3 linked regions of the Caenorhabditis elegans genome follow. The protein of the gene in region 1 purifies or fractionates together with the protein of each later gene. This does not show direct contact. Each region holds a gene or a part of one and is shown on either strand. Other genes may lie near its edges. The genes, in order: hpo-29, smg-6 and cku-70.

Region 1 (4,886 bases):
TGGCCAAAAATCGTATTTCCAATGGAATTTTCACAGAAAAAGCCCCGAAATCATTTAAATTCCCAAAGTTTTGGCCAAAATTCATAAATTTTCACCAAAAAAAAAGCCCAAAACTCGAATTTTGGGTCAAATTTAGCCGTTTTCAATGGAATTTTCCCACAAAAAACCGCAAAATTAGTAAATTTGTCAGCTTTTCAGTCAAAATTCGACATTTTTCAAGGCATTTTCTCTAACACCGAAATCGGTCAATTTTCCTGTTTTTGGCTCAAAATTCGTCGATTTTCACTCAAAATGTGCCAAAACCTTTAATTTGTCAGCTTTTCAGTCAAAATTCGACTATTTCCAAGGCATTTTCTCCAAAAGTGTTCAAAATTGGGTTTTGGATGAAATTTTCACTCAACAGCACCAAAATTAGGTAAATTTAACAGTTTTTGTAGACAAAAATCATCAATTTTTGAAATTTCCGGTTAAAACTGTCCAAAACTTGAGTTTTGTGTGAAATTTCCCAATTTTTCAGTCAAAATTCGGCAAAATATGCCGATTTCCTGATTTTTGGGTCAAAATTCGTCAATTTTGACTACAAAAACGCCCAAAACACGGGTTTTGTGTGGAATTTACAGAGACAAGTGCAATCAATCTGTCAATTTTCTCGTTTTTCAGCCGAAATTGATCAATTCGAATGGAATTTTCACGGAAAACGTGCTAACATCCTGGTTTTTGGCCAAAATTCCACAATTTTTATGGAATTTTCACTTAAAAAAAAGCAAAAATCAGCGAATTTTCCAGATTTTAGCTCAAAATCAACCGTTTTTCGTCATTTTTTCGATCAAAAAAACCTACCAAATATCCGTCATAATCACGAATATGAATCTGCAAAAGACTCAAATCTCTCAAAATCTGCAAATTGTCCTTTTCCAGCATCAAGGCCCGTTTGTAGGCCTTAATTGCCTCATCGTACTTCTTTTCAGTCTTTTGAATTAGTCCAAATACGTGCCAGCAGACATATGAACGGAGATCCGATACAAGTCCACGACGAACACAATCTTGAGCTTCTTGAAGTTTTCCCATACAATTTAGGATTAAACCCTTCATTGCGAGCGTTTCTGCAAGAAAAATGAGTGAAATTGGAGTAAAAATTGACGAAAATCGGTGAAAATCCAATTTTTTGGATAAAAAATGAAGAAAAATCGGTCCAAAATTGGCAAAAAACGGTTAAAATCGATTTTGTAAGTAAATTTTGGGCAAAAAAACAATTTCCTGAGACTTTTTGTGAAAAATCTGGAAAAATGGTCTAAATTTGGCGAAAATCGATTTAAATTCATTTTTTACGGGAATTTTGTGCCAAAAGCCAATTTTTTGGGGCCAAAAAGAAGAAAAACCGATCCAAAATTGGCAAAAACCGGTTTAAAATTCATTTTTTTCGAATGTTTTCCACTGAAATCCGGTCATTTTCGCTGAGAAATTCGATTTTCCCACAGTATATTTTGATATTTTTAACAGAAAAATCGAATTTCCCATGCAATTTAGGATTAAACCCTTCATTGCGAGCGTTTCTGCAAGAAAAATGGGCGAAATTGGGGGGTAAAAATCACGAAAATTGGTCAAAATTTGGCGAAAATCGGTTAAAAATCAATTTTTATAGTGAATTTTGTGCCAAAAACCAATTTTTAAGTCAAAAAATGAGGAAAAATGGGCAAAAAATCATTTTTTGAATTAATTTTGTGCCGAAAAAATCCAATTTTTCGAGATTTTTTTTTCGAAAAATCTGGAAAAATGGTCCAAATTTGGCGAAAATCGATTTAAATTCATTTTTTTAGGTGAATTTTATGACAAAAACCGATTTTTCGGGTCTAAAATGAAGAAAAATGGGTCAAAACCCGGCGAAAATCGATTAAAACCCAATTTTTAAAGTTAATTTCGTGCGAAAAACCAATTTTTTGAGTCAAAAATGAGGAAAAATGGGCCAAAATTCATTTTTTAATTAATTTTGTGCGGAAAAATCCAATTTTTTTGAGATTTTTTTGTGAAAAATCTGGGGAAAATGGTCCGAATTCCGCGAAAATCGGTTAAAATCGATTTTGTAAGTACATTTTGGGCCAAAAATAGCTCAAAATTAGGAAAAAACGGTCCAAAATCGGCCAAAATAGGCTCAAAATTCATTTTTTTAAGTACATTTCGGGCCAAAAATCCAATTTTTGAGTCAAAAATGTAGAAAAATCGGTTCAAAATTCATTTTTCAAGTAAATTTTGTGCCGAAATCACCATTTTTCGAATGTTTTCCACCGAAATTCAGCCGTTTTCGCTAAGAAATTCGATTTTTAACAGAAACATCGAATTTCCCATGCAATTTAGAATTAATCCCTTCATTGCCAGCGTTTCTTTGAGAAAATTGAGATTTTTATGGGAAAAATGGTCCAAATTCGGCGAAAATCGGTTAAAAACCAGGTTTTTGGACAAATTTCGCGTCAAAATTCGTTATTTTTGCGAAAAATCTGGAAAAACGGTCCAAAATTCATAGAAATTCAAATTTTGAGTCAAAATTATTGAAAAATCGGCTCAAAATCAAATTTTTGGGATATTTTGCACCCGATTTCACAAAAATCTGGCGAAATTCTTAATTTTCGGGGGTTTCTCCTGTAATTTGGCTGGAAAATGAGTTTTTCCGGATAAAATTTGCATAAAATGGCGATTTTACTCGAATTTTTAGCTGAAAAACCGAATTTCCACTCAAAAACCCGTGAAAATCCAGTTTTTCGCATCATTTTTTCAGATTTTCCGGTCCAGCAGTACCTCCATGCTCGGCAAAGCCGGGACTCGTCAAAATCTTCTGCGCAAACTTCAAACCCGCTTTGTACTGCTTCTGCTCGTAGCTTTTCTGCAAAAATTGAGTGATTTTTCGGTTTTTTCAGCAAAATTCGAGTTAAATACCACGATTTTCTTGAAATAACCGAGCTCTTTGGCTGGCAACGGCTGGCTGCTCGATTGTCCTGGTGGTGTCGGCATTTTTACCTGAAAATTTGGATTTTTGAGGTGAAAGTCGGTGAGGAAACGTGAAAAGAGCACGAAAACGAGAAGAAAATCGATTTTTTGAGCCTAAAAACGATTAAATTCCGCGAAAAAATGAATTTTGGCCTAAAATGTAGGGTTTCCGGGGGTTTTAAGGCATGAAAAACTCGATTTTGACAGTTTTAATAGCAGAAAACCACTGAAAAAGCAAAAAAATCAGTAAAAAACGCTGAAAATCTAAGAAAACAAAATTGTCCCGCCGAACAAATCGGTGTTTTCCGCCAAAAAACTGCCAAATCTCCGAAATTCCGTGTGCCCCGTGGCAAATTAAAGGCGCGGAACACGTTTTTCCACGTTTTAACACGAAAAACGTGTATTTTTTGGGAAAAAACGTCGAAAATCCATCGAAAATAGTGTAAAATTGATGAGAAATTCTGGGAAATGAGCAGTGAGTCCGCAAACACCGCCACGCACAAATGCACAGTTTTCGTCCTCTGGCGCGCGCACTCTCCTCGTTTTGCACGCTCTCTCGCTGGGCTTCAAGTGAAATTTCTTGGAAAACCGTCTGAAAATACAGAAAATATCTGAAAAAATCTGAAATTAGCTGAAAAATCTGAAAAATCATCGAAAATAATGCTAAAATGTTATAAAAATTGGGAAAAACCTGGACAAACCCATATTTTCAAACAAACACCATGACGCAAAAATGCACAATGAGCCGAAAATTGAATTTTCAGCTGAAAAAGCCTTGAAAATCCAACAAATTGCAGTTTATTCAATGAAAAAGCACATAAAATATCAATTCGGGGGTCATCAGGTACGGCGGATTTTGCGGCTGAACACACGTTTTTCGTGGCGAAGTGAGAAGGCGGCGTTGTCGATGGGATTTTCCAGATTGTAGGTGCAAAGGCAGACTTGGGCGAGGCCTCTGAAGCTTAATGAGTTGAGAAAAAGTCTAAAAACGAGGGGAAATCTAAAAAACCGTGGAAAATTGACTGAATATCGAGAAAAATAGGCCAGAACTCTGATTTTTTAGCCAAAAATTCGAATTTCCCGCTTTTTTAGGACTTACGTGAAGCGGGGGTTGCGTTGGAAGCAGATTGGGGCACTTCCCGGCATGCAGCTCTGACAGATCTGGAAAAACCCAAAAAAAAATCCAAAGTTTTCGATATTTTCGCTTCGAGACCCGAAATTTGACAAAAAGTCGTAATATTTTGTCTTAAGCTCGTCACACAGGCAAAGCGGGTACGGTCCGTTTACGGATCTTGGACCGGGAACGGACCATTAACGTGCGAACTACGGATATGAAAAGCGGGACGGACCAATTACGGGCAAACTACGGGGAATGTAAAAAATGGCCATTAAGAGGAAAAAATGGATTTTAAGAAAACGAATTTTTTAAAATACCTATGATACCAGTTGGCTAATTCAAGCATTTTTACGTCGTTAAATGCATTATTCAGAGCAAAAACCACATTTACCGACCGAGATGGCTCTTGAGCCGTAGTTGGGCCGTTTCCGGTCCGTAGACGGTCCGTCGACGGCCCGTAGACGGACCGTAAATGAACCGTCCCGGGCACCAAATTTTTGTTTTTGAAAATTTCAGGTTCTAGCACGGAAAAAGTGCTCAAATTAGCCAAAGGAGAGTGTAGGCACTTCAAAAACTCCATTTTCATGAACAATTTTTTCGTATTATCCTCCGTTTTGGTGATCATCCGTAGTTTGGCCGTAGCCGGTCCGTAGATGGTCCGTAAATTAACCGTCCCGGTCGGCAAAACTGCACTTTTTAAAACTAAACCTTGAATCAGGCAAAAAATTAGCCAACTGGCTACAATGAACCAAATAGCATTGTAGGTACTTCAAAAACTCAATTTTCATGA
Region 2 (4,711 bases), 2.2 Mb from region 1:
CCCGGCTTCCGTCCCATTCTGCGAGCGCTGCACAATCTGAATTCTCCCAGCAAGACGTCCCGACGACATATGGTTCTCCAGCGTTCCATGATACTCCGAAGCATCATCATCCCGATCGTCATGCTCACCGCGGTACCGTCTCGGCTCTTTCGGCTTCTTCTCCACGGCGGCGTCTCTTCGTTTCGGATGGTTCTCGTCGTTGGCTCCACGTGTTCTCTGGTACAGAACACGTGGATTATAAGAGTTGCCGCTTCGCACAGAAGTCGGAGTTCTCTCACCACTTTTGAGCTCTTCCTCGGCTTCTTCTTCCTCTTTTTCCTCGGCGATACTTCCACCGAACGAGCTTTCTCTGTCGGATTCATCGGGATGGTACCGACTGTTGCCTCCACCTCTTCGATTATTCCTTCGGTTATTTCTCCTCGGAGACGCCGCTTTCTGAGCTTCCTGAGCAGCAGCTTCTTGAAGCTTCTGCTCCATCCGTCGCTCTTCCTCTTCCTCCTGCTCTTTCTGCATTGCAAACTCATTTTCCACCTCTTTACTCCAATCCATCGACGCGAAATTCTGCAGGTTCTGGCACATTTCCTCGAAACTGAACGCCTCGCCAAGGGAATTCATCGAGAAATTCGATGAGGCTCCACACTGAGATGCCGAGTCGAATGAGGTGTCAATGTGAAGTTGAGCACCGGTTTGAGGTGGCATTTCTGATTGGGTAGAGTTGATGGAATCGTTGCGTTGGCGACGGGATCCTTGAGGACGTCGGGCGATGGCGCCGTCCCCGCGCATGGAAGCTCGCTCGTTGAAGCCGCGGGTCTGGAAATTGAAAAGATTTAGCTTTAAAAGTTTGGTTGTTTGAACAAAAAAAGCTTTAGCTCAAAAAATATTTGATACGCAATTTTGTAAATGCGCGTCGTGTTTGCGTACTTGACTATCGTACTCAATGGTGATTTCCGCAAAAATTTATGTTTTTTTTCGAGAACGGACAATTTTCTAAGGTTGTTCAGAGTTTTACAATTCGAAACGGTATCATGCCTTCTTAAGGCGGTATTAAACGTAATTCTAAGTTCAGATTGTCAAATTTCTCAAATTCTGACAGTTTTCACCAGTAAAAACCTCGAATTTGTATGGAAAACTGTCCAGATTGATAAAATCTCTAGCTTTCTGTACTAGACGTGAATTTTCTTGAAGTGGGCTAATTTCTAAAGCTTTTCTCAGCTGTTTGGTACAATTTCTACTAAGTTTTACAGTTTTAGACTAGAATTTGAGCGATTTATCTCTTTTTCCCCAAAATTTCTTTTTTCCTAAAGTTTCCATATTCCCATCATACCTTACTGATCACTTCACATCCCACACATCCCATTAATTCTAATTAATTCACCCCTTCTCCCCCCCAGACACTTCCATTAAGAAAACCTGATAACCTACATAATGATTTCCGCCGGGTCGTTCGAACGGTTGCCGATGCTGCTGATGCTGCTGGTTACTGTATCTCCCATTATTCCGGTGATTCGATCGGTGGTTGCCCTGGTACTCCATATAGCCACCATGTTGCCGTGTGTCGTAGAGGGATTGTGTGGAATTCTGGAATTGGAATGGTTTTCGTGGGATTTGGGACATTTGTAGGGGTGTGCAACTTTTCAGTCAATTTCAGACTTTTGTCTAGTTCTGGGGATTTGAGTTCAATCTTGAGCAATTCTTAGCTTTTTTCCTGGAGTCTTCGAGACAAAATATAAGTTTTCAGCCAGTTTGAAGTTGGGTTCAGTCGGGTTTCATGAGAATTTGAGACCTTTTCCAGCTAAATTCCAGAGCCAAAATACGTGATCTCACGTGGTGTCAGAGTCTCCAATTTTGGCTTGATCTACGTAGTTCTACAAAAATTGCGGGAAAAGAGACGCAGAGTTCTCATTTGATTTCGCATTGTTAAGAACGTGCTGGCGTCACATTTTTTGGCCAAAAAATTCCCGCATTTTTGTAGATCAAACCGTTATGGGGCAACTTGATACCACGTGATTTCTCAAATTTTGAGGATTTTGAGTTACCTTCAGCCGTTCCACAGTGGCTTTAGAGTTAAATATTTGGATTTTTGGCGTTTTTGGGGATTTTCAGCCAACTAAGGTATTTTCTCGTGCTAATAATGAGTTTTTAAACAATTTTTGAGGGTTTTCAGTCAATTTCAGCTACTTCATAGTGAAGACTTTGGGTTTCGAGAGATTTACTGAAAATTTTTGGCTTTTCCCGTAAAAATATCAGTTTTGCCATAGATTTTAAGATTTTCCGTTAATTCAAGTCGTTTTCTAGTGCTTTTAAGGTATTTTGAGACATTTTCAGCTGAATTTGGGGCTTTTATCATGCTAAAATATTAGTTTTTCAAAATTTGCTGAGGGTGGTGTCAGGATGTCCCATCACGGTTTGATCTACGAAAAATACGGGAATTTTTATTACCAAAAATGTGGCGCCAGCACGTTCTTAACCATGCAAAATTAGTTGAGAACTCTGCGTCTCAACTCCCGCATTTTTTGTAGATCCACGAAGATCACGTCAAAATGAGGCACTCTGACACCGTTTCCCCGTGCTAGATAATGAATTTTTCCAAAATTTTTTGAGGGTTTTAGGTAATTTCAGTTTTTTTCTGTAGTGTTAGGGTAGAACTTTTGGTTTTTGAGCGATAAGATAAAAACTTACATAATTCGATGGCCCATCTGTTCTCTGTTGTTGTCGATAGCCTTTCTCAAATCGATTCCTTCCTCCACCTCGCTCATTCATGGCATTAATCACATTTGCATCGGGCGTCGTACTTCCAGATCCACCACGTGACGTCACACTGTCCGTATCGTTGCTTCTTCGTCTGGAATTGCCCGACATCGTCGTCGTTGTTGTGTTCAACTTCTCCGGGCGTGGTGGTCGTGCTTCTTCGTTCGTAGAGCTCAAGCTTTTCGTGCTCCCTCCCTGGCGGAGCATTCCTGGACGGTAGATTTGAATTTCTGGGCGCGGTTTTCGTGGAGCTCCCGTCCTAGATGACGAGGCGTCTGTGTCTCCGTTCATTTTGCTTGGTGAGCTGGAAATTTGGAATTTTGAGATATATCATAAAAGAGAAGCATGTAACATACAAAAAAAGGAAAATACAGATTCAGGCATGCCTACCTGCCTGCCTACCTACGCTATAAAACTGCAAAAGTTCAGGAGAAAAAGCTATAATTGAAGAGAAAGCACGCGGTGTCAAAGTGTCTCATTTCGGCTTGATCTACGTAGATCTACAAAAAATGCGGGAGAAGAGGCGCAGAGTTCTCAACTGATTTTGTATGGTTTCACATTTTTCTGGGCAAAAAAAACCGCATTTTTTTGTAGATCAAACCGTAATGGGACAGCCTGGCACCACGTGAGAACGGAGTTGGAGCAAAAAAATTTAATTAAGAAAAGGTGTTGACAGCGGGCTTTACGAGGGGATGAGCAGAGGATAAACAGATTTTTTCGCAAAAATTCGTCATTCCTCTAGATTTTAGACGGGATTTTGCATTTTCTAAAGCTGTGGGTGTTGGAAAACCGAAAACCGCCGTTGAAAATAGCTAAAAATCCGTGGGAATCTCCAAAAAAGCGTTGAAAACTTCAATTTTGTACCTAGAAATCCAGGAAAAAGCTGAAAATTGGTGTGATGTCAGAATGCCCCATATCGGTTTGATCTACGTAGATCTACAAAAAATGCGCGAATTTAGCCGCAGACTTCTCAACTGATTTCGCATGGTTAACACTGTGCTGACATCACATTTTTTGGGGAAAAAAATTCCCGCATTTTTGTAGATCACACCGTTACAACCTACCACACCACGTGGGAAAACTCATAGGTTCGACGAGAAACTTTTTGGTTAAAACTTTAAAAAATGTCATATTTTTAGGCTGAAACTAATATGAATAGTTAAAACCAAGCTATTAAGTTCTGAAAACCATACTTTATATAAATTAAGGGCCTTTTGGGTCTGGAAATTCGGATTTTTTGAGATTTTCCCTCCCAAGAATACTAGTAAACCCTAAATTTCTCCGATATCACAAGATCGCTACTTTTATTTCGATTTTCGCAAAGTAACAAAAAAAAAGTTTTATGTAACTTTTATGTCCCCCCACCACCAAACGTTTTCCTGTTCCGAAATGCAAACACATACAACACAGTGAAACAATTCTTATCACTGGTGGAGCGGGTACCTTCTGTTAAGCTAAACAGAACATACACGTCGGCGGGGTGGGGGGAGGGAAGGGGTAATTGTTTGATTAGCCACCCATCAAATAGAGACATGGGAAAGTACATGGGGGGTAACAATGGAATTTTCGGTATCGATTTCTAATTGGGGAAGACTCTAGTAGAGGCTCATTGGAAATTGGGAATTAAATAGCGTTTATAACCGAAATTTGAAATAAAAAATTCAAGAATATGGTAGTTTTCAAAGTAACGTTTCTAATTGGGATTTTAAACAAAAGTACAAAAGTACTACTAAAACGAAATTTGACAATTCTTTTTGCTCAAAAATTAAATTTCGTCATTTTTTAAAATTATATATATATATGTGTGTTGTAATTAATTACAATGCTCAAAAATGCAGCAATTTTTCAAATTTGAGCAATAAATGTTGTCAATTTACGTTCTTTTTCGATTAATATAGTAATTAAAGTAAGCTTTTTCAGCCTACTACAGCCTATTTGGACTAAAAAAAAACGGACCTCACAG
Region 3 (4,815 bases), about 11 Mb from region 1:
GCGGAATTAAAAATTCCGATAAATCGGCAAATTTCCGGAATTGAAAACTGCCGGCAAACCGGCAAATTGCCGGAATTGAACATTTCCGGCAAATTGCCGGAGTAGAAAATTTCCGGCAAATCGGCAAATTGCCGGAACTGAAAGTTTCGGCAAACCGGCAAATTGCCGAAATGGAATCTACAGCCAAATCGGAAAATTGTCGGAATTGAAAACTTCCGGCAAATCGGCAAATTGGCGGAATTGAAAATTTTTGGCAAACCAGCGAATTGCCGGAATAGAAAATTTCCGGCAAATCGGAAAATTTACGGAAAACCAGCAAATTGCCAGAATTAAAAACTTCCGGCAAACCGGCAAATGGGCGGAATTGAACATTTCCGGCAAATTGCCGGAGTAGAAAATTTCCGGCAAATCGGCAAATTGGCGGAAATGAAAATTTCCGGCATATCGACAAAACCGGCAAATTGCCGGAATTGCAAATTTCCGATAAACCGGCAAATCGCCGGAATTGAAACTTTTCTAACTTTTTCAAACTTGAACAAAACTCAAATATCAAATTTTTTTCCGTGAAAATCCCAAAATTCCACGTTGGAAATTTCAAAATTCCAACAGCAAAAAAAAAAAACGCCGCGGACAAAATTCAAAATTCAATTTATTCCTAAATTTCGACTCGGTGGTGTGTGCGTGAGTTGTTCAACAATGTTCAGTCGACTAAAGCAAAAAGTGAAAGAAAAGACGGGCAGAAGCAAGGCGACAGTGCTTCCCGCCGAAATCGACGAGGCGTTGATCTACTTCAAATCTCTGAAGCCCCGCGTCCAGGATCTCTACAAGCACATGGCAAATCTGAACGACGTGGCAAATTGGCAAGTGAAAGCCAACTTTTCAGGCCCACTGGAGAACTATGCTCTGCTCGGAGATCGTATCAACGTGCAACCGTTCATCAATTGTGTCGACACGCGGATGGAGGCAGAAGTCGAGTCGATGGATAAGGTGCTGGCGATTTGTGAGCGGTACAAGGCGTTCACACAGAACGAGAGTAAGCTTCACACAAATACAATTGCCAATTTGAATAAGACACGTCTCGATATGGATAGTGCTGCGAACAAGTACGCCAGCAACGACACTGACGTCAATCGGACTCGGTTTGATGATGCCACTCGTGAGTTTGAGGTGGCTTGTGATCGGATGCGTGAGTTGGCGATAAGTATTCAGACAATTGAGGAGACTCATTCCATGTGGCAAGATGAATTGATGCGGGAGATAAAGGCCGGAATGAGGAAACCGAATTGAGGTGGTGGTGGTGGTGGTGATGGATGAGAAATTGAAAATTGAAGAGATCTCACAAAAAAACCTTTTTTTTTTTTGAAAATAAATTAGGTTATTATGAAATATTGTTTTGCCAATTTTCTAGGCGGCGTGGCCTACACGATTTCAGGCCGCTCTTTATGAAAAGCTAAGTTCTGGCGTCGAAAATTGCCAATTTCTTGAAAAAAAAATACCGGAAATTGTTTTGTCGAAAGCAGTGGTGGACGGCAATTGCCGTTTGGCAAATTCGGCAAATTGTCGGAAATGCCGGTTTGCCGGAAACTTTAATTTCCGACAATGTGCCGGTTTGCCGAATTGTTGCCGGAAATTTTTTATTCCGGCAAGTTGCAGATTTACCGGAAACTAAATTCCGACAATTTGCCGATTTACCGAATTACCGTATATTTTCATTTATGGGAACTTGCCGGTTTGCCGTTTTGACGAGAACTTTCATTTCTGGCAATTTGCCGGTTTGCCGAATTGACGGAAATTTTCATTTCTGGCAACTTGCCGGTTTGCAGTTTTGCCGTAAATTTTCAATTCTGGCAATTTGCCGGTTTGCCGTGACGGAAATTTTCGTTTCCGGCAACTTGCCGGTTTGCCGAATTGCCGCAAATTTTAATTTCTAGCAACTTGCCGATTTGCCGGAAAATTTCATTTTCAGCAATTTGCCGGAAATTTTGATTTCTAGCAAGTTGCCGGTTTGCCGAATTGACGGATATTTTCATTTCTGGCAACTTGCCGGATTGCCGAGTTGACGGAAACTTTAATTTCCGACAATTTTCCGGTTTGCCGGAAATTTTCAATTCCGGCATTTTGCCGATTTGCCGGAAACTTTAATTTCCAACAATTTGCCGGTTTGCCGAATTGCCGGAAAATTTAATTTCCAGCAAGTTGCCGAATTGCCAAAAATGAAAGTTTCCGGCAACTTGCCGGTTTGCCGGAAACTTTCAATTCCGGCAATTTGGCAATTTGCCGTAAATTTTCAATCAATTCTGGCAATTTGCCAGAAACTTTTAATTCTGGCAATTTGCCAGAAATTGTCATGTCCGGCAATTTGGCAATTTGCCAGAAATTTTCAATTCCGACAATTTGTCTATTTGCCGGAAAAAAATCGTTCGAATTTTCAAAAAAGTGGTGATCTACCGAAATTCTGCCAAAAGTCAAAAGAACAATCAATTTTTTGCCAAAAAATTGCCAGATTGCGTATAATATTCTGAAATTGTAGATTTTACTCGAAATTTAACTGGAAATTGCCAATTTGTCGAGATTTTGAAAAATTAGAAGTTTGCCTAATTCACTGCGAAAATTGTGCCAAGTCGCCAAAAGACGACGAATGCCGAGAAAAAAAACCACGAAAATGTCAGAAATTGTCCGCGATTTCCGCACCTTCCTCCGCAATTTCCTTAATCTTATTCACTTCTTCCTGTCCAAGAACACCCATCGGCACAAGCAGAGTGCTATTTTCGAGTCCCTCGGTCTCCGAGTTTTTCTGTAATTAAAAAATTATTAAATTTTCAGAAATTCTTCAGAAAAAACTCGTACAGTACTAGTGACAATCACTCCGATATGATTGTTAAGGCTCCGCGAGCAGCAAACACGGACTATTTCGTCGAGAATGAGCTTCAGAGCAAGCTTGAACTCTGGCGGCTCACCGGCTTTCGACGTTTCGAACATTGCCGGATTTCCGTCAATTATGAAGAATGTGTACTTTTTATTGGCCGTTGAACCCTCGAAATCGTCATCCTCGAAGCGGGTTTCGTCCATCTGGAAAAAAATTGATTTTTTTCAAACTTTTCTCGAAAAAAAATTCAAATTTTGACTGAAAAAATCGAAAAATTAATTTTTTTTGAATTTAAAAATATTTATTAAAATATTTTTGTTCTCAAAAACTTTGAAATTTGACATTTTTCAAGTTTTGAAAATTTCGAAAGTTTTTTTTTTCAAATTTTTCGAGAAAAAAATATCATATTTTGTCGATTTACGGAGCTCGTGACTGAAAAATTAAAAAAAAAAAACTTCTCCTCGAGGAGTACACCAGCTGCGTAAATAGACACACGGTTTTTATGCATGTGTCGATTTACGACGGATTTTGAACTACACGTGGACAAGTTTGAGTTCAATTTTTTTGCAAAATCTCGACTTTTTTTTTGGCTAAAATTTCAGTTTCCGAAACATTATCCCTCGTAAATCGACAACCCCTGTGTCGATTTACGCAGCAGCCTTCGTGTACTCCTCGAGGAGAAGTGTTATTTTTTGCTCAAAAATTTTAATTTTACAATAAAATAAATTACTTTGCATAGAAAATTTGAAAATAGCGAAAATGTTCAAATTCTCCCCGTAAGTCGACACAAATACTATAATAAATTGAAATAATTTTTTCAGAGATGGAAAAACTCCAAAAATTCAGTGAAAAAAGGGAGAATTAACACAGGATTCGATTGTTTATCAGATATGATTTGAGTATTTTCGGGAATATTTTTTTGGGGAAAAATAAAGAATTTTTCACTGAAAATTAGGAGAAAATGGAAAAATGGAGGAGGAGGAAATGACTTGTGAAAAAAATTAGGAAATTAGAAATTTCGACATAAAAAAGACGGGAAAATCGCAAAACTGGGGGGAAATTTTCAAAAAAAAAAGAAAATAAATTCATTGAATTTTCATCATTGGCGCAAAAATATATGAAAGATCCACTCGATTATAGGCATTTTTCTCCAAATATTTCTCATTGATTCGATCAGCCAACATCATTGAATCGATTTTGCACCCATTATATTCGACACGGACTTTGGCGGCTTCTGGAAAAAAAAAACTTTTTTGAAGAAAAAATTGTACAAAATTTCCTGGAAATCGAACTTTTAATGCTAATTTTTAGTGAAAAATTGTAATTTTCAACGAAAAAAAAAACTCAGAAATCGGAGAAAAAATTTACTGAAAAAAAATTACGGATTTAAAATTATTTGAGCCAAGCTTTTCAAAGAATACGGTACCGGGTCTCGATACGACAAATTGTTGTTGAATGCGAAAAAGTGTGCGCCTTTAAAGAGTACTGTAGTTTCAAACGGATTTTTTTAATCGATTTTGCGCATAGAATTTCACACGATTTGTTAAAACTTAAGCGGTTTATTTCAGTTTTTTTGTTTAACGAAAAACTGAAAAAAATGGATGAAAATTTCTCAAATTTCATCCAATTTTTTTCAGTTTTTCGTTAAAAAATATGCTTTTTATTAGAAAAACTGAAATAAACCGCTTAAATTTTAACAAATCGTGTGAAAATCTATGCGCAAAATCGATAAAAAATTCCGTTTGAAACTACAGTACTCTTTAAAGGCGCACACCTTTTCGCATTCAACAACAATTTGTCGTGTCGAGACCCGGGCGCAAAAATCGTGAAATTTCGGGATTGAGTAATAAAATTATAAAAGCCGAATAATTTTATCTCCGTAATTTTTTTTTTGAAAAAAAAAAATGCTGAATAGCTGCTGAAATAGAAAATAAAATTTTTTAAGTAAA

Evidence for each region.
Region 2: the proteins of hpo-29 (region 1) and smg-6 fractionate together in Caenorhabditis elegans (co-fractionation; one large-scale study listed by BioGRID). This does not show direct contact.
Region 3: the proteins of hpo-29 (region 1) and cku-70 fractionate together in Caenorhabditis elegans (co-fractionation; one large-scale study listed by BioGRID). This does not show direct contact.

Annotation. Positions count from the first base shown.
Region 1 is NC_003281.10:233,967-238,852, reverse strand, and holds the start of hpo-29 (N-alpha-acetyltransferase 16, NatA auxiliary subunit), read right to left. Parts: upstream 3,010-4,886; 5' UTR 3,004-3,009; coding exon 2,929-3,003; intron 2,876-2,928; coding exon 2,791-2,875; intron 1,104-2,790; coding exon 841-1,103; intron 1-840. Other genes in the region: hpo-38 (DUF19 domain-containing protein), read right to left, coding at 3,820-3,934, 4,079-4,140.
Region 2 is NC_003281.10:2,472,209-2,476,919, reverse strand, and holds the start of smg-6 (PIN domain-containing protein), read right to left. Parts: upstream 3,053-4,711; 5' UTR 3,040-3,052; coding exon 2,680-3,039; intron 1,579-2,679; coding exon 1,423-1,578; intron 811-1,422; coding exon 1-810.
Region 3 is NC_003281.10:11,153,081-11,157,895, reverse strand, and holds the start of cku-70 (Ku domain-containing protein), read right to left. Parts: upstream 3,070-4,815; coding exon 2,848-3,069; intron 2,795-2,847; coding exon 2,692-2,794; intron 1,288-2,691; coding exon of another isoform or gene 697-1,287; intron 1-696. Other genes in the region: Y47D3A.31 (BAR domain-containing protein), read left to right, coding at 697-1,287; pola-1 (DNA polymerase), read right to left, coding at 3,952-4,100.